Bombyx mori: one gene and its partners. The main gene of each other region encodes a partner of the protein of the gene in region 2 in a complex. Links are inferred from orthologs where the notes say so. Each region holds a gene or a part of one and is shown on either strand. Other genes may lie near its edges.

Region 1 (5,482 bases), on a different chromosome or scaffold from region 2:
TATATATGGGCGTGCCCTGATAGCCTTATCACGACGAACCGGTAGGCAGCGGCTTGGCTCTGGCCCTGGCATTGCTGAAGTCCATGGGCGACGGTAACCACTCAACATCAGGTGGGCCGTTTGCCCGTCTGCCTACTAGGGCAATAAAAAAAAATAAAAAAAGACCCAGGCACAAGTTACCTCTTGCAAGTCGACCGGCTCCGTGAATATATCGCTGGAGTCCTTCTGGCGCAACAAGCGCAGCAGCTTGTGGAGCACGGCCCGCTCGGGTCGCAGCGAGTGAAGGAAGCAGCGCTCCCACACGCGGGTGTACTCCGCCTTCAGACGCTCGCGTTTACGTACCAGCTCACACAGCAATCTATGCAAAACATTACCGACTCTATGTTACTGTTACATAGACAATCTATCTAAGGACTTTTGGCGGGAACGCGAGGAGTGAAATTGTGTGATTTGTTTTATTTTTAGCCGACTTCAAAAAAGAAGGAGGTTCTCAATTTGACTGTACGTTTTTTTTTATTTTATGTTTGTTATCTCATAACTTTTGACTGGGTGAATTGATTTTGATGATACCTCTGTGGGAATATTAAATTTATCTTTTATCTTTATAATGATTGCATCCGTTTATTGGTTTTCAATTATGGAGATGTTAACCGAATTTCAGACGTTAACGCAGCCTCCATTCGATCCGGAACGCATAGGTGTGTCACGATAAAAATCAACGAAATAGTGGTACCACTACCACACAAAAACAGACGTGGCGGATTTGGTTTTTATTCCACGCTGTTATTGCTTAATTAAAAATTTTTAGTCCCGTCATGTTTGAATCAATCGATACGAACGCTTCAAATAATTTGAATTAGTTATTTTTTTTTTATTATTATTATTGTCAAGCTCTCGAAAATGTATGTAACCAATAAAAGTTAAAATAAAACCCTTAAAAATCACCTTGCGCGTTCCAAATCTTGTCGTATTCTCTGCCAATACTTCAACTGATTACACAGCTCTCGTACATTGACAGCTGCGTCTTGTATGCCTCTACTGCCTGTAAATAATAATAGAATTTAAAAAAAAATAGGCTAGTCATATTGGTTCAAAAACTGAAGAAATACAACGTGGTATAAATCTATATAAGTATTTATAGGTTTATTGATCATAGGTTTATTGATCTTATTGGTTTGTTTATCTTTTTTGGGTTGCAAAAGCATAAGATTGTGATGAAAAATTTTGCAATTGTCTCAAGGTACTATAACTAACGCGAGAGTAGTCTTGAGAGATCCATAGCTAGCCACAGCGAAGCGTAAAGTGGTTTAGCTGGTCTATACTAATATTATAAAGCTGAAGAGTTTGTTTGTTTGAACGCGCTAATCTCAGGAACTATTGGTCCGATTTGAAAAATTCTTTCAGTGTTAGATAGCCCATTTATCGAGGACGGCTATAGACTATATACCATCATGCTAAGACCAATACAAGCGGAGCACCAATAAAGAATATTTCAAAATCGGGTTTTTTTCCCTTTTGAAAGTATCCGCCGCGTGCGCTGCAGAAAAGGTTAAAGTTTTGCTAAAATAATGTATGACAGAATTGTTCCCCTTAAAAAGGTCTAAAAAAAGTCCGCCATAGCATACCTATGTCTATATGTTAAGGTTGGCTGACTAAAATGTTTTTTATGCTAACCAAATTTGTTCTAAAATAAAGCATTATTTGTGAGCTATTCCACGCGGACAAAGTCGCGGGTAAAAGCTAGTACATATATAAATATATGAAAACTCACCATGATTGGTCGTCAAGCTCTGCAGTCTCCTCAACAGCGGCACACCGTTCCTGCTGTGCCGTTTCAGGGTCCAGTAAGCGAGGAGTCGCTTCATGAGCTGGGCCCTGGCGGCGGGCGGACCCTGGGCCAACTGGGCCACGTCCGCCACGCGCTCGGCCGGCAAAGTCGGTACTAACACGACCGGGGCCCAAGTTCGTTTCATTGCTAACACGCGACGTGCCTACGGTTAAAATTATAAACATTAGTTTTTACTGATGGTAGGACCTCTTGTGAGTCCGCACGGGTAGGTACCACCACCCTGCCTATTTCTACTGAATTTCTATTGGAGCAGTATTGCGTTTCGGTTTGAAGGGTGGGGCAGCCATTGCAAGTATACTGCGACCTTAGAGCTTATATCTCAAGGTTGGTGGCGCATTTTACGTTGTAGATGTCTATGGGCTCCAGTAACCACTTAACACCAGGTGGGCTGTGAGCTCGTCCACCCATCTAAGCAATACAAGCAAAAGCAGCAATACAAGCAATACAAGCAAAGCAAAAGCAAAATAAGCAAATACAATTCAAATGGTTCAAGTCATTGAGGATTCGGTCAATGAAAGTAAAATAAATGAAGGAAATCTTGGTTATTATGTACATGATAATTTTTTTACTAGTGGTTAGGACCTTTTGTGAGTCCGCGCGGGTAGGTACCACCACCCTGCTTATTTCTGCCGTGAAGCAGTAATCCGTTTCGGCTTAAAGAGTGGGGCAGCCGATGTAACTATACTGAGATCTTAGAACTTATATCTCAAGGTGGGTGGCGCATTTACGTTGTAGATGTATGGACTCCAGTAACCGCTTAACACCAGGTAGGCTGTGAGCTCGTCCACCCATCTAAGCAATAAGAAATCTATACTAATATATAAATCTACAGTGGTTTTTACGGATGTTCCGTTATAACTATTGAACCATACATCCGATTGACTTGAAACTTAGTATCCATGTAGAAAATACATGTACTTAATGGATAAGCTAATATTTACACGAGTGTTGGACTCCCTACATCGGTTGCGGGGGCGTTAATGATCGAGAATCTTTGTGGGGGTGAGAAATAATAATGTTAATTTTAAATGCCCAGCGAAGCGGACGGGTACAGCCAGTACAATAAATAAAAAGAACCTGTTTGATTTTATCCCGTCCTTTCTGTCTCACTGCATTGAGGTCGTTGCATTTAGAATCGTTGTCCGAGTCCCTGGCTCGTCTCTCTTGTAGGACATGCGCCGGAGTGTGCGCGTCGCAGTACGCCATTTTCGCTACCTGAACCGGCTGGCTTGGGTCCCGGCCAGATCCGGCCGCTTCCATTTTCATATAAAGTCTGGGGATGTTTTTAGAGACATTTTTATGAATTTCATTTGCGATGTCATCACGGCCTAAAGGTTAAGGCGCCTTGTGAATTCGTATCGAACGATGCGACTGTGTCGATGTTCGAAACTCACAGACCCGGTACCAATTTTTCTAATTAAATACGTAATTAACAGTTGTTCACAAACGACTTCCAAGATGAAAGAATAACATCATCGTATAATATAAATAAATAAAACATTGCACGGAAGGATGGTAGCAATCTCCAGAGGCTCATCGTGACCGGTAAGGTAGATGGGAAAAGACCTCGGGGGCGTAGCCCAATATGTTGGTCCGACCAGATCCGCACCGCTCTTGATTCCACATTTCACAACGCCCTCCACACCACCAGAGACAAGAATAAATGGAGAAAGATCGTGTGTGCGAGGTAATAAAAAAGGGTGGTTACGACCCTCAGCAGTGAGGAATACAACGCAAGGAGGATTATAAATAAAACCCGTAAAAATATATTTTGCGTAATTACTGGTGTTAGAGCATACACTGGGGCCATATGGGTAGGTACCACCACCTAAATAGCCCAAGTTATCCCAATTTATTCCATGAAGCAGTAATGTGTTTCGGTTTGAAGGCTGAGACAGCCATTGTACTGTAACACTGAGACTTAGAAGTCATGTCTTAAGGTGAGTAGCGGCATACGTTATTGATGTCTATGGGCTCCGGTAACCGCTTAACACCAGGTAAGCCATGAGCTCGTCCATATAAGCAATAAAAAAAGGAAAAAAAATTACTTTGATCTCATATCAAGATATGTAGAAACATTTACATTATGTTGTCTATGGACTCCAGTAATAGATTATACTAGATAAATCGAACCATAATATAGTTATCTTTTTTTTAATTCACATTAGGGACTAGCTCTTGTCTCGCAATAAACGTAGTTTATTTGAAAAATGAATTTGTATTCAATTCTAGTACCGGTACTTACCCAGCTTGTTGTGCACAAGTCACATGAAAAGCTGAATAACAGTTACTCTTATGACACTGTATGCAAGAGCCAACTCCCCTCTGCTTGCAAACCATACATTGTAACTTCCAACGAGCCGCCGGGATCATTTCAATTGAATCTGTGATATAATACGTAGTTAATAATCTTGTTACCGGTGTCAGTATTTTAACAAAGTTATCAAAACATAGTCATAAAACCCGACAACAACCCAATATCAGAGAGGTCTAGCTCTGTATCATTACACTTGATGTGACTGTCATCTATCTTAGGTAGTGTTAGCAAATCCTTCCAGATTCAGCCCCGTGAACCAACCCGACTATGCATGCTTGGAATAGCCACGAAGGCTACCAACGATTAGGTGGGTCTTTAAGCTTACAATACTTAGTATCATAAATTCATAATTAGGAAGTATTTTATAATTAAGCTAGTAGATAGAGACTGAATATTTTTTATCACTGAGGTGACCTATAAGGTTGAATGACTATGAGAACGACTTATCAAATTAAACATTTCAAATTACGATTGACTATAACATATTCTTATCAGTTATAATGGTACAGAACAGTCTTATTCCAGTTCAAGGAAGCAAAAAGATAATGACTATTTGCAACCATTTGTAATTTTTATTTTATTAAATAATTTTTGATAATAATAATATAATAAGCTGTATAAATAATAAATATGTTACTTGTATAATAAAATGTTTTTCATAGATTAGATTAAATTTCGTGCTTTAGACTTTCAGAGATTTTTATAAATTTCCCTCATTACCCTAATTCACATCCTAAAAATATAGTAATTTGGTATTCATTGGTATTTTTTTCCACAATTCATAACATAGTTATTTGTAAAAATTATACTATAGAATGAATTTTATAAAAAGTTATCCAAATGTATTTTCACACTCACCAATTGGTTCCAGAAAGACTGTATTAGCAAATCGCACTTCCGGTATCCACAATGCACACACAACATGAGCCCAAGTTCCCTGATCTGTTTGTTTGAATGCTCCTGCAATATGATTATGGAATGAAATAAAATCTCTAAACATAGAATGATTTAAATGAACATTACTATATGTACAGGGTGTATTGCAAGTGTTGAATAACTTTATATTATCTGTGCAACACCGGTTTGACTGACAGACAATTGAACACAAGTAAAATGTTCTCACAGCTGTGAACTCCTATCAGCTGTCTTCATTATATCTAGGTAGTGAAACTACAAGCATTAAATGTGCTTCATAAATGACCTAGTTCTACAATAATTTTAAGACATTAATCTATTTCTGTCTATGGTTGAATCATGAACTATGTGTTAACTAAATTGACAAGTCATACGGAGATATCAAAAATAACACTTTTTTT
Region 2 (6,114 bases):
ATCTCGCCCTACTCGGGCGTTAGTCACCCATGAGTAGGATCTGTTCTCTCGGGCGTAAACGATCTCCGCAGCGTTAATTTCTCGTAGAATTTCTCCTTTATTTCATCACACTTGTCTAGTGTAGGAGCATAGACACTGATGATATTAAGGTAATCGTCATGTTCCATATGAAGGCGTAATGTGGTAATGCGGTCGAAGATGTGTATAGGGTACTCCTGTAGTTGTTTAGCAAGGTTCTTTTTGACAGCAAAGCCTACTCCTGACCTTCGTGGCTCTGAGGAAGCGCCTGTTGTGTGTTTGTGTTTGTACTTGAAGTCCTTTCCAGAAGAAAGTATACCCGCCACTGTGCTCTACCAGCTCCCTTTCTTCTGGAAGATGTGTTTTGCTGAGTGCAGCCACATCAATATTATGGCGATGAACCTCCCGAGCTACAATGGCAGTCTTGCGTTCGGGACAGGAACTTACCTCACGGTCAAGGAGTCTACGCACATTCCACGCGCCAAACGTCAGTGACGTTGATTTACTAACATTATTTTTCCTATGGCTTCAACCGCGAATTTTAGATGCGAAGGCTGCCGCGGTTGCTACCCTCCATAAGGGTTAGAGTGAGCATTTGTTTAGGACACCTTTTCTAGCCCCCTCTCCGGCTGAGCGAGGAAAGCAGTGCCTCCCTGAATAGGGCTGCTTTGTCACCCCGGGTGTTGCCGAATCCGCTCTATCACCCCAATGCAGAACAAAAGCGACCACGCAAGCAATATTACACCCGCAGGGACACCTACGTGTAGATGTCAGACAAAGCCCAACCTGCATCACGTCAAGCCTCTCTCCTTTCACCCATCGCCGTAGGACTAATCTGAAATCAGAGTCCAAAGCGGTCAGTTGCGCAGGATATATTAACGTGCACAAGCGTGTGCAAGAGATACAGGTGCACATACTCGTCCTTATCTTTCTAGACCCAGTGGAACGGGGATTGTTACGACTAGAGAAAGACTCGAACAGATGGATGGTGCTATTCTAGCCCGCCGGCACCAAGCGGCCTGCGTTAAAGGAACATACTCATAAATAAACAGGTTCAATGATAATTAACATATTATTTTAAAATAAAATTTAATCATGTAAATTATTTGATTATATTTTACAATCTTTTCAAAATCATTTATTGGTACTACATTTACTGAATGTCTACATTCAACTTATTGAGTTAGCTATTTGATTAAAAACAAGTGATAAAACAAATTGAGCACATTTAAATAATGAAATACAATCAAAAATTCTACTGAACGATTTAAAACAACGAAACTGGAAGCATATAATAACAAACATTTAATATTTAAAAAACTCTACATTTCTAGCTAATACATACAAAATCTACTACAATGTACAGTTCAAAAAATTCTAATTACAATATGTACTTATTACATTATATTCAGTATAAATTTGCTTCAATTGACTGCCATAACTTGTTTCAATATTTAATTTCACTATCTACATATATCAAAATTTACTGTTAGAAAAATAAAAAATAAATTAATTTCAATCTGGTTAAAGAAAGAATTCCACATGATCACGACCGCTCTGCCAAGAGCAACAGACTATGATGAAAGAAAGACTTTGAACCAAGCCCTTTTTTTATGATTACAGTAATGAGGGTGAACGTAAAATGCCTGGCACTATTAATATAGGAGGGACGTGCGAGAGTGTAATGAAATGTTCCCAATTTGCGTGCATACTTTAACCAATTTTGAAATATAAATTTGTCTCTTTTACAAAACTAATTTCCGATGCATTTTCACAAAAGATTATTTTATAAATCATATTAGGGCAGAAAGAAGTCAAAAGAGATGAAAAATTGTAAAAGCTCAAATTGATTTTAATAAAATCCTTATCTCCTTTTCTCCATTTCAATAATGTGATATAGCTAACACAATTATTTGGTTTTTAATCTTATTAAACTAAAATAATCTTAATACAATTGTGCTTAGCCATGATCAATACTAGCAATACATATAACTTAATATGCAACTGCACACCAATCTTTCATATTCAAAAGCTTTAAGAACATGAAACTTTACTTTCAGAACTTAATTATTACAGCTGAAAATATTTAATTCTGTAATGGGGCTTTATGTTTTGTCAAAATCTAATCTGTTTTTTAAAAAGCCCTTTATACAATTCAACAAACGCATGGATTGTATATCACGTTTAGCTAAAACTGAGTTACAAAACGTTATTTCTTGCACCTGTCAAATTATCTCAGTATCAAACTGGAATTGATCTTGTTTATTAGATAGCTTTCAGATGACATACATATATAGGTAAATACTATAAATTTTGCATTCAATTATAATTTTTTAATTTTATTTAAGACACCACGTAGGTACTTAAATCCAAATTTATACAATATTTTGAAAATAAATTCAATGAAATATATGTACATTTGTTTATTTGTGTTTAACAAATTATTTCAACAATTACTTGATAGCTGTATAAATTGTAAAATGGTGTTAATTTATTGTCATGTTTTCATTTCTATAAAATAATAGAAATTGTTTTCAGTAAACAATGTATTAATGATGCATTTTAAGATGTATTTAATGCCTTTATAATTTGAGAATATATTATGCAATATTAATGTAATATTTCAGATTCTGCAATAATCTATATTTAATTTATTGGCACTACAGCTTCAAGTAGTACAGTCATGAGTCCTACTATCACACATAACAAAACAAATCTATTGTTTTTAAAAGATCTACCTTTTGGTTTCAAGTGATTAAAATGTCACTGGTAAGGTGTTAATGACGTATCACTTTATGAATGCAGTAAGATTTATTTAATGTCATATGACTTACACAACAGTATGGACTCATTAGACTACAATAACTATAATAATAATAAAATCACAATTCCTTATATGGTTGGGAGTTATATATTATTATTATATTTTAATTTTTATAGGAAGTCACTTCACCTCTTTCTTTAGAGTAACAGTCTTATCTGTGGGTTTCAAAGGTGGTTTAGCTGTGGATCATTTCTTTTTTCTATCCTGAGTGCACTTAGGGCAGTACCATTTACCCTTAGGTTTAATTTTCAGATCAACACAAGCAAAATGGAACCACTCAATTGGGCAATCTGGGTTATCACAACCAATCATTTCACCATATGAAACTTGATGACACAGACAGTATGTTGGTTCATTAGGATCCACCGGCATGTCTAGCACATCACTGGGGTGTGCCATGCCGGCCACTGAATCCAAATCGGCAGTCTCTTCCTGTTCTTTTGTAACATTTGTTGTGGTGGTGGTACCTTTACGCTGAACTTTCTTCTTCGCAGCTGACCTTCCGGATGCGACAGCGTCTTCTTCACTGGAGGCCCCGGCACGCTTCTTTTTACCAGTCGTAGCAGCTGCTTTCTCAGTACCTTTATGCTTTTTCCTACCTTTTTTAGCTGTGGCCGGATTTGTTTCCTGATCTGCAGCAGCCTGTTGAGCTGCACGAGCACTCATTACTTTCTCTTGTATTTCAGACTCAAAACGCGCGAGGTCAGAATCAAGTCTACGTATATGCTTGTCTACTAATTCGTAGGTCTGAATTGCAAGTTGCACTTTATCGTCTCCATACTCTTTAGCTTTATTGAATAATCCTTGAATAGTGTTCACCTTTTCTTTTTTTGTTTCTTCATCCATTTTTGGAATACTTGGAAGCAACTCATCGGCCATAAGGTCAATGGTTCTCATTAACCCGTGAGCGCGGTCATCCAAATCTCTCATCAACTTGAAGTTTCTTTGCAGTTCAATCGGCAAGTGCTGTAGACTGTCCAAATAATGCTCCAAATAAAGAGCAGAAGTCATTTTGATAAAATTTGTGCGTGCGACACTTTGACGATAAAATGAAAGTAGTTTAACAGAAAACTCAAATGTTTACCTTATAGGTATGTCTAGAAAAATATTTTCTATCACTATTCATAAACTTAACTATACGGTACTGCTAATGCTCTTTTGTTTTATAATTAAAATTCAAAATCTAAGAACACTTCATTACAATTCACTTGCAATTTTCTTTCAAGCTCAAACAAGCGAACATTTCAATGTTGCCATGTTTTACACTAATAGATTCTTCGTTTCCTGATTAGTGATTAGTTTTAATTTGTACGTATGTACCTACCAAAACCTATTTCCTGCAAGAGTGATTCAAAATTAATCAAATAATAATTAGGTACCTGTATACATATTTGTACCATTAATTTGCAAAGTAATATATTTATAATAAAAAAAAACTGTTAAAAACAATAATTTTTTGGAGTTTACTCCTTTAGAATCGATTTACATATATAGGCCCGGGGTATGAAAATTATGGGGACCAAAATCGTACTAGCATGTCACACGAAATGCGTTATGCGCCTGATTGGCTCCTGATTGCGTGATGCGTGCGCGCGCCAATCAGGAGCCAACGCGCGGCCGCGTTATCGCAGGTGACGCCGGGCTGCTGCGCCGGCAGTCCGCCACAAAGCCTCGTACTGATCGCGCGTTTCTCTCATTATTGTATTTTCATATATTTGTTAGTCGTTTGTTTTGTGTCTCGTTAATTTGTTAATAATCTGTAGTGTATCGTGTTGTCGTAATATAGAACTATTTCTCGTATTGTTTCGTTTAATTTTTTATATCCAGTAAACTCCAGTCGTGCGTCGGAGCGGACACACACACTTTTTTTATTGAAATCTTGTGTGTCACGTACGTTTTTACCAAACAGAAACAATCGTTACTAATTTGATTTGCCTACATATCTGCCAGTAGCCTCGAGGGGCTGTTCTGACTTCACCTTGAGCTCACGGGTCACTCAAATTTTCCTGAAATCTGCCCTAACAAGAGCAGTGTTTCCCTGAATCTGCCACGGGGTCGGAATCACGACACACTGAAAATACCTCGCGAGAAACTCAGAAATCTTCGTCGCATTTGACGAATTTACGAGAACGGGACGGGCAATCGCTATTTTTATTAGGTCATGTTATTGTACGATAATAATGTCAAGCAATAAATTGTTATTCAAAATTAGAAATTGAATCTTTTGGATACCTTTTTGTTTTACACCTAAAAGAGTAAAATGATCAGATCGTGGCCTAATAAACTTCCTTCCTTGTGTTGCAAATTGCAAGTTTACATTAAAACTCATAAGCAATTTTCTCACGCTCGAAAAATCCGTAATAATTTAATTTTAGGAAAAAAATTAACTAGCTTCTTAGATGAGTATTTAGACTTATCGGGAGACCTGTTTTAATATCATAAACATTCCAACCACTATGAGTGACTACTAAAGAAGTGAAAATTAAAGAAATGGGTGGTAGTGAAAATTTGTTTTGATATCGTTTCCCACAAAATATCGAATCGTCCATCGAATAATCAAAACCTGCTTGCTATACGTACGAAATTTGATCTTTATTTAATTAATATTCTTTTCCTTTTTTTTAAGGGATTTTATGACCTGGTATCTAAGACCTTTAAGTCATGTCTTATTTTAATTTATATTCATATTTTTACGAAAAATTATAATATGAAGTGAAATGAAATGAAATGGAGGTGGTTAATTTGACACATTAATCAACTGGGATGAAATTAAATGAAATGAGATGAGATGATATGGGATGTCATATAATCTCAGTAAAATCGTGATCAATTACTTACTGAGACTTTTTCAGTGGACTTTTTGGAGGATCCTGAGAAGTTACGTTCAGCGGCTTTGTTTCATTTTCCCACATTTGTGCACTTTCACAGACATTAAACAGTTAATAAACCACCGTTATTACACATTTAAACCTGAGGAAAAACAAAATAGACAAAATAAAAGATCACACAACCTCACTCCTCGCGTTCCCGCCAAAAAGTCTATTCTTTTCCTGAATATTGCTATTGCTGCCAGTGTCGACTTTGTAAAAACTATAGCAAAAGAAATGACGTTCCAATAAAATGGTTGAAATTTATTGAGAATTAAATGGCCTTTTTTGCACTCACAATTTTACGCTTTCACTGATGTTAAACGTTAAATAAGCCACCATTATAGCATGTTCAAAGCTGAAGAAACACTAAATGTAAATTATACAATTTACACTGCGATTCTT
Region 3 (5,998 bases), on a different chromosome or scaffold from region 2:
AAAGGAATTGCCTGTAACAAGCTATAAATTGTATGTTTAGGGGTGGAAATTTTCATAGTTATCGTTTGCCCGAGTAACATGAATAATAATTTTCAGAAAATACAATGGTGAGGGGTATTTGTTTGCGAATCCTAGTATTTGTACGAAATTACTTGATGAATTTGCGGATTCTGCATCTAATTTTACAAAATGCTCAATCAAACATGCGAGACCGATAAGACTATGTGAAAAATGTATTGATCATTATGTAAAATTTCGTGAGAGCTATAAAAATTTACTTCAAACCAATTTAAATGGAACTTCATGTGAAACCATCTTTATTTCTCATGATAGATTAGAGGTGGTTTTGAATTATCATGATAACATATTAGCTATTTGGAACAAAGGAAATTGTAATGGTACGTATATATTCTGTATATTAAAAAACTTGCAAGTTCAAGCAAGTCATTCTTGTGGAGATGGTTGACACTATTTTGTTTGTGCCAACGTAAAGATTTTCCAATTTTTTTTTGTAAATACATTTCCTTATTTTATGTTACCCGGTGAAAACTTTTAATGCTTTTGTTTTTTATTTCTTTTATAAGTATCTGAATAAAAGTAGAGTGAGAGCTATCTAGTAAGGTTCCTTAAATGCAATGCATGAGATACATGTCTGTTTATGTTTATTTTATCATTTTAGATTGTTTTAACTGGACTAAAGATAAACCAGAAATTTCAAATAAAACTTACCATTTTTATCAAATTTTTAATGAAACAATGCAATGTATTGAAGACAATATAAATCCCAAAGAGAATAGTACAAAAGTGTGTGAGAACTGTATGCAGAGCTACATACAGCTGAATAACTATTATGAATCTCTTAGTTTTGACAGAATAGGGCTGGATATTATATGCATGGATGTTATTGATTCTGTAAGTACACTAATTGTAACAATGAAGTAATCAAGTAATTCTTTTAATTTACTTGCAAATGCAAATAGATGTCTATAATGCATAATATTTTTTCTTACATAAAATATAAGTCATAATGAACACCAATTATTGTCAGCCAATTTACTCACATGAATGCAACAAACTATGCCATAGTTGACATCAAAGGCCAATTTCCATTTTTTATGATGGAGTAATAGTAATAAGAAATATAAATAGTGGTAAAGTTTTTGGGAACATGCAAAACCTACAGTGCCTACTACAAGCACCGTGCCTGTTTCTGGCAAGGAGCAGTAATGTGTTGTGTTTTGGAAGGATAGGACAATAATTATATCATACAATCACAATACAAAAGCCTCACATTTGCCAGGTGCCAGCGTGCACATTGTGATATCTATTGTTACTGGTTATAATACGAGCTTGCTAACACATTTATGCAATAAAATATTAGATTTGATAGAGAATACTGAGATTTCTCATATAAAGACTCAACTTCAAAAAAATAAACTAAAAATATAATGATTTACCTTATCATTTCAGATGAATGCAACTAGATCAATATGGAGCAAAAGCCTAAACTGTTGTAAATTGAGAAAGTCTCCAGAAATAATATTTTTGTGTTGTTCTGGAATTATTGCATGCTTACCAGTTTTGTATTATATTATGGTGAAATATTGTGGACCAATTAAGGACTTACCTAATATTTTAAAGCGTATGTATCAGTTTCTCATTTAATATCTATTTATCATGTCCTGTTTGGTATAATTTTACTAATACAAACAAAACATAATTTCAGAATCAAGATTCAAACAAAGGATATTAAGAACAGTTAATGGTATCAATTAGGTCACAATATTTTTATGTAAATCAACAATTCATTATTTATTTTTATACAATAACATTAGTTAAAAAGAATACATATTGTTTCATTGCTACAAGGAGTGTTGAGAACTATTACAAAAAACATTAAATTACACTTTACAACATTGCTCTTAGTAACATTAAATGACATTTGAGTCGACTATTATCAAAGGCGGCAATCTGACTTTTGGACAATGATTGGTAAATCAGAAAAACGAATTATTGACTTTGTATTCCATTGGCAGTCACAAAACTCTTCGGAACGACATCTTAGATAAATAACAGGTTAACTATTAACCTTTATTTAATGCAGGTTTTGAACCGTATTCTTTGAAGGAGACGATTATATTCAAATAAATCTGTATTGACATATCAATAAAAAAATTTTGTCCAAATGTACAGATTGCCGCCTTTGATAATAGACGACTCATTTATAATATATAACTTAATAATGATATATGGGACAAATGGTAAAGTTATGTTTTTTTCGAATTTTTAATGCAGAATTAGAATATATCAACACTTGAAAGGCAAACGTGACTAAGCGACAATGCATGAACTTTACAGTAGACTAATTTAAAGTTGAAATACCTGAAAAAAAATATATTTTAACAAATCTAGCTGTATGATTGAAATGATTATAATAGACCTAGAAGTAATTTTTTTTTTGCGCATTGAATATGGTTATTGCCTATCATTTAAGTATAAAGCAGTTATTGTCGCTTAGTCACGTTTGCTTTTGAAGAGTCAATATACTGTTCGCATTAAGTTTAAATATCTGCACTATGTTTATGTATGTACTGTATTTGTATCATATTAATATTTCAGTATGGGAATGGTTTCCTTACACCCAGCATAAATCTTCAGACTAGCACCTACTAAAATCTGCCATTAACATGATAGAGTGCATAATGTTCACCTGTGCCTAGCTTTCTTGTTGTTCTTTTTGATGCTGCCGCTACTACTGCTTCCGCTACTAGACATTTTGTGTTTTAGTGAGTTTGGTGTTAAATCAACTTTATTAATAATGTTTACATTAGATTCCTTTTCTTTTGGTGTGCCAGGTCGACTATCAAGTCCCATTCCTGATAATATTTTACTTTCACTACTAAATGCCTTCTGGAGCATGCCAGATGCAGTAGCTATTTTTTGTGTAGCTGTTTGTTTTGTTTGAGCACTAGTTAATGTTTTATCTAATGTTCCATTAGTATTTTGTTTCCCAGATGGCTTAGAAGCAATGCTTTCAGTGGAACCATGAATTGTCGTATGGTTAAGACCTCCAAGATTGAGATTTGAACTAATCTGTGTGTCTGAAGAGTCTTCATTAGTTTGCGATTCAGTTTCACTATTTCTTTCATCTGAAATAAGGAATTGTTATAAAAAATAAAATATATTTCGGTCGTGAGTTGATTATTTTCAGTTTCAATATCCTTACTTTTAGCTTCAGCAGCATCTACAAGTCCACTAACAGCCTGAAATAATTTAATGGATTTATGTTATCGTATTTTAAGACGTTATAAAACAGAATAATTCACTTAAAGATTAACTTACAGCCATAGACGTAATACTAGATTTAGAAAACAATCTTTCTGCTTCTTTGAACTTTCTGTTACGTTTGTCAGCTTTGGAATTAGTGCTTTTGTTCGTTGTGAGGTATCTATCCCATCCTCTAATTATATTTCCATACAATTGAGTATCTTCCAGATATGATCCCTCAAATGCATAAATCTGACGTTCCAAGTTCGCTAAAGTTTCCTGTAAACATTTTCATTAGGAAGGGTAGATTAAATGCTCAAAAGGACTGTCATTATGTCTACTTACAGCTACTTCAGCTTTCCGTTTGACCAATTCAGCTAGTTCAGCTCTAGTATCGGCTACTGAAGATTGTTTAGTAGCCATGTTGGTTCTTTTGGTTTGCACACTTTGAGCGTCATCAATGGGGCTTTGTGGTGAAATAACCATGCTGATGATTGTTGTTACTTGTGTTTTATAATTCCATAACAGATCACTTAAGACAGGCGTATTTTTTCTGAACAGAAATGTGCCACTTATTTCCAAAAACGCAAATTATTATTCTAGCAATTGTTGCCTTAAATTCCACAGATTTTTTTGATACAATTTTAATCAATTTTTCCTTTTAAGAAAGGCAAGGGATCTAAGCACATAAAGCCTTGTCTTCCACAGATTATTGTAATTTGTATACTCAATTTTTTTATGGGATTTTCTGACCTGGTAACTCAGACCTTAAGATCATGTCTTATTTTAATTTATATTCTTATTTTTATGAAAAATGATAATATGGAGTGAAATAAAATAAAATGGAGTTGATTGATTTGAGACATTAATTAACTGGGATGAAATTAAATGAAATGAGATGAGATGATATGGGATGAAATATAATCTCAGTAAAATGGTGGTCGTTCACTGAGATTTTTTAGTGGACTTTTTCGAGGATAAAACTAAGAGAAAAAATATCTGTGTAAAGGCACACAAGTACGGTATTACTTAAACGTCTTTTTGGCGGGAAGTGAAGTTGTGTGATTTGTTTTATTTTGTCTATTTAGTGTTTCTTTGGGTTTAAATATGTAATAACGGTGGTTTATTAATTGTTTAATATCTGTGAAAGTGCATAGATGTGGAAAAATGAAACAAAGCCGCTGAACGTAGCTTCTCGGTTCTTCCAGAAAATTCACAAAGTCTCGGTAAATAACCTCCATTTTACCGTGACTTTATTTCATCCGGTTTCATTTGATTTCATCCCAATTGGTTAAAGTCTAAAAGAAATCAACTTCATCTAATTTCGCTTCATTTCATTTTTCAAATTTCAGAATCTATATGAGAGTATGTAATGATTGAAGATTTTTAATACTTCGAGACTGTAAACAAAGGCTTCGTATAAAGTTAATTGCCATACAAAAAGAATGACAAATTGAAAACTAGTGAGAGTCGAGATTTCATTACAACAATAAACAGATTGAGTTTTGGCCATAATACTGCGCCGTCACACCTAGCAGGACTTGGCATTGTTTCAAACAACCAATGTTTACACTGTCAAGCAAAGGAAGGGACGATCCATCACATTATTTTCGATTGCCAAAGTTTCATATTTCAGACTTGTGCTGGCTAGTGAGGATACCAATGCATTAAATGTGTTTCTTCCTCTCGCCCGCCGCCACTTTTTACTAAAAGATCCAACATCCGATAAACCTATTTATAATTATATGAAAAATATAATTCAAATAATGTAAATGACAAAATTTATTGAAGTGAAGTGTAGTGACCCCAAAGTAATGCACATTTTTCAAATAAGATATGACCTAAAGGTCTCTGTTACCAGGTCATAAAATAAAAAAAAAGTAGATATATAATAAGTACTCCATGGAGGTGAATGAAGTTAGCCCCTCAAAAAAATTTTTTTTTCCTGTTTTCTACTTATTTTCTATTAATTCGTTTGTTCATCATTTGTTCTTGATTGTTCATTGTCAATAATTGTTTGTTCCCCATTTATTTATTTAAAAAAAATTATTAAAAATATATCTAAAAGTTAGCCCCTCGATTGCAATTTTTAATATTTTTTCGTCCTTAATTACTCGTAAATATTCATTTTCGATTGTTCTTATATAAAATACGTTTGTTCTCTTTCGAAATTACTCATTTTTTGTTTAATTAATTGTATTAGTTGAATAAATGTATACAAAATATGTGTACTGCGCATGCCATAAGTGTATAATCTATGGCGCATGCGTCAACGTAGTGATTACTTGCTCAGTGACTATAATGCCTAAACTTTCTACGCGGTTTTAATCGTGAAAAAAAAACAATTATAAATCCTGAAGGATCAATTAATTGGTATACAGTTTAATTAAAAAAATTAAAAACAAAATAAATAAAATAATGTGCATTCGCGTAAAGTTAGACCAAATACATTTTTTCCATCCTCCTATATACCTATCGCTATGAAGGTATAAAAAAGATAGGTTAAGAGTTCACATAGGTAATATAAACAAATAAGTAAATATGTTCATTATTTATCTTTCAAGAGATAATGTAGGTATACATTATAATAACATTTTGACACAGTCGAAATTATATTCCTAACATTAGTAAAATAACATTTTAATATTTTTTTTATAGGTTATGTATTGAAATTGTTGGAAAATTATTTCATGTTTTAGCTGGAAAACTACATGGAGAATTATATGCAATA

What was found.
Region 1: inhibitor of growth protein 5 (region 2) and peregrin share a complex: the UniProt entries of both Drosophila melanogaster proteins name them as parts of the enok complex. The link is inferred for Bombyx mori from reciprocal best matches to the Drosophila melanogaster genes Ing5 and Br140.
Region 3: inhibitor of growth protein 5 (region 2) and chromatin modification-related protein MEAF6 share a complex: the UniProt entries of both Drosophila melanogaster proteins name them as parts of the enok complex. The link is inferred for Bombyx mori from reciprocal best matches to the Drosophila melanogaster genes Ing5 and Eaf6.

Annotation. Positions count from the first base shown.
Region 1 is NC_085122.1:5,172,729-5,178,210, forward strand, and holds part of peregrin, read right to left. Parts: intron 5,127-5,482; coding exon 5,025-5,126; intron 4,234-5,024; coding exon 4,095-4,233; intron 3,123-4,094; coding exon 2,927-3,122; intron 1,992-2,926; coding exon 1,772-1,991; intron 1,043-1,771; coding exon 946-1,042; intron 359-945; coding exon 181-358; intron 1-180. UniProt on the Drosophila melanogaster protein: Scaffold subunit of the histone acetyltransferase (HAT) Enok complex which has histone H3 acetyltransferase activity.
Region 2 is NC_085109.1:3,386,273-3,392,386, reverse strand, and holds inhibitor of growth protein 5, read right to left. Parts: upstream 4,104-6,114; 5' UTR 3,854-4,103; coding exon 3,029-3,853; 3' UTR 1,091-3,028; downstream 1-1,090. UniProt on the Drosophila melanogaster protein: Component of the Enok complex which has a histone H3 acetyltransferase activity.
Region 3 is NC_085128.1:6,603,900-6,609,897, reverse strand, and holds chromatin modification-related protein MEAF6, read right to left. Parts: upstream 3,952-5,998; 5' UTR 3,754-3,951; coding exon 3,613-3,753; intron 3,547-3,612; coding exon 3,343-3,546; intron 3,264-3,342; coding exon 3,227-3,263; intron 3,150-3,226; coding exon 2,707-3,149; 3' UTR 1,777-2,706; coding exon of another isoform or gene 1,727-1,776; 3' UTR 1,643-1,726; coding exon of another isoform or gene 1,471-1,642; 3' UTR 913-1,470; downstream 1-912. Other genes in the region: osteopetrosis-associated transmembrane protein 1, read left to right, coding at 1-30, 97-398, 680-912, 1,471-1,642, 1,727-1,776. UniProt on the Drosophila melanogaster protein: Component of the Enok complex which has a histone H3 acetyltransferase activity. Might be involved in transcriptional activation of selected genes.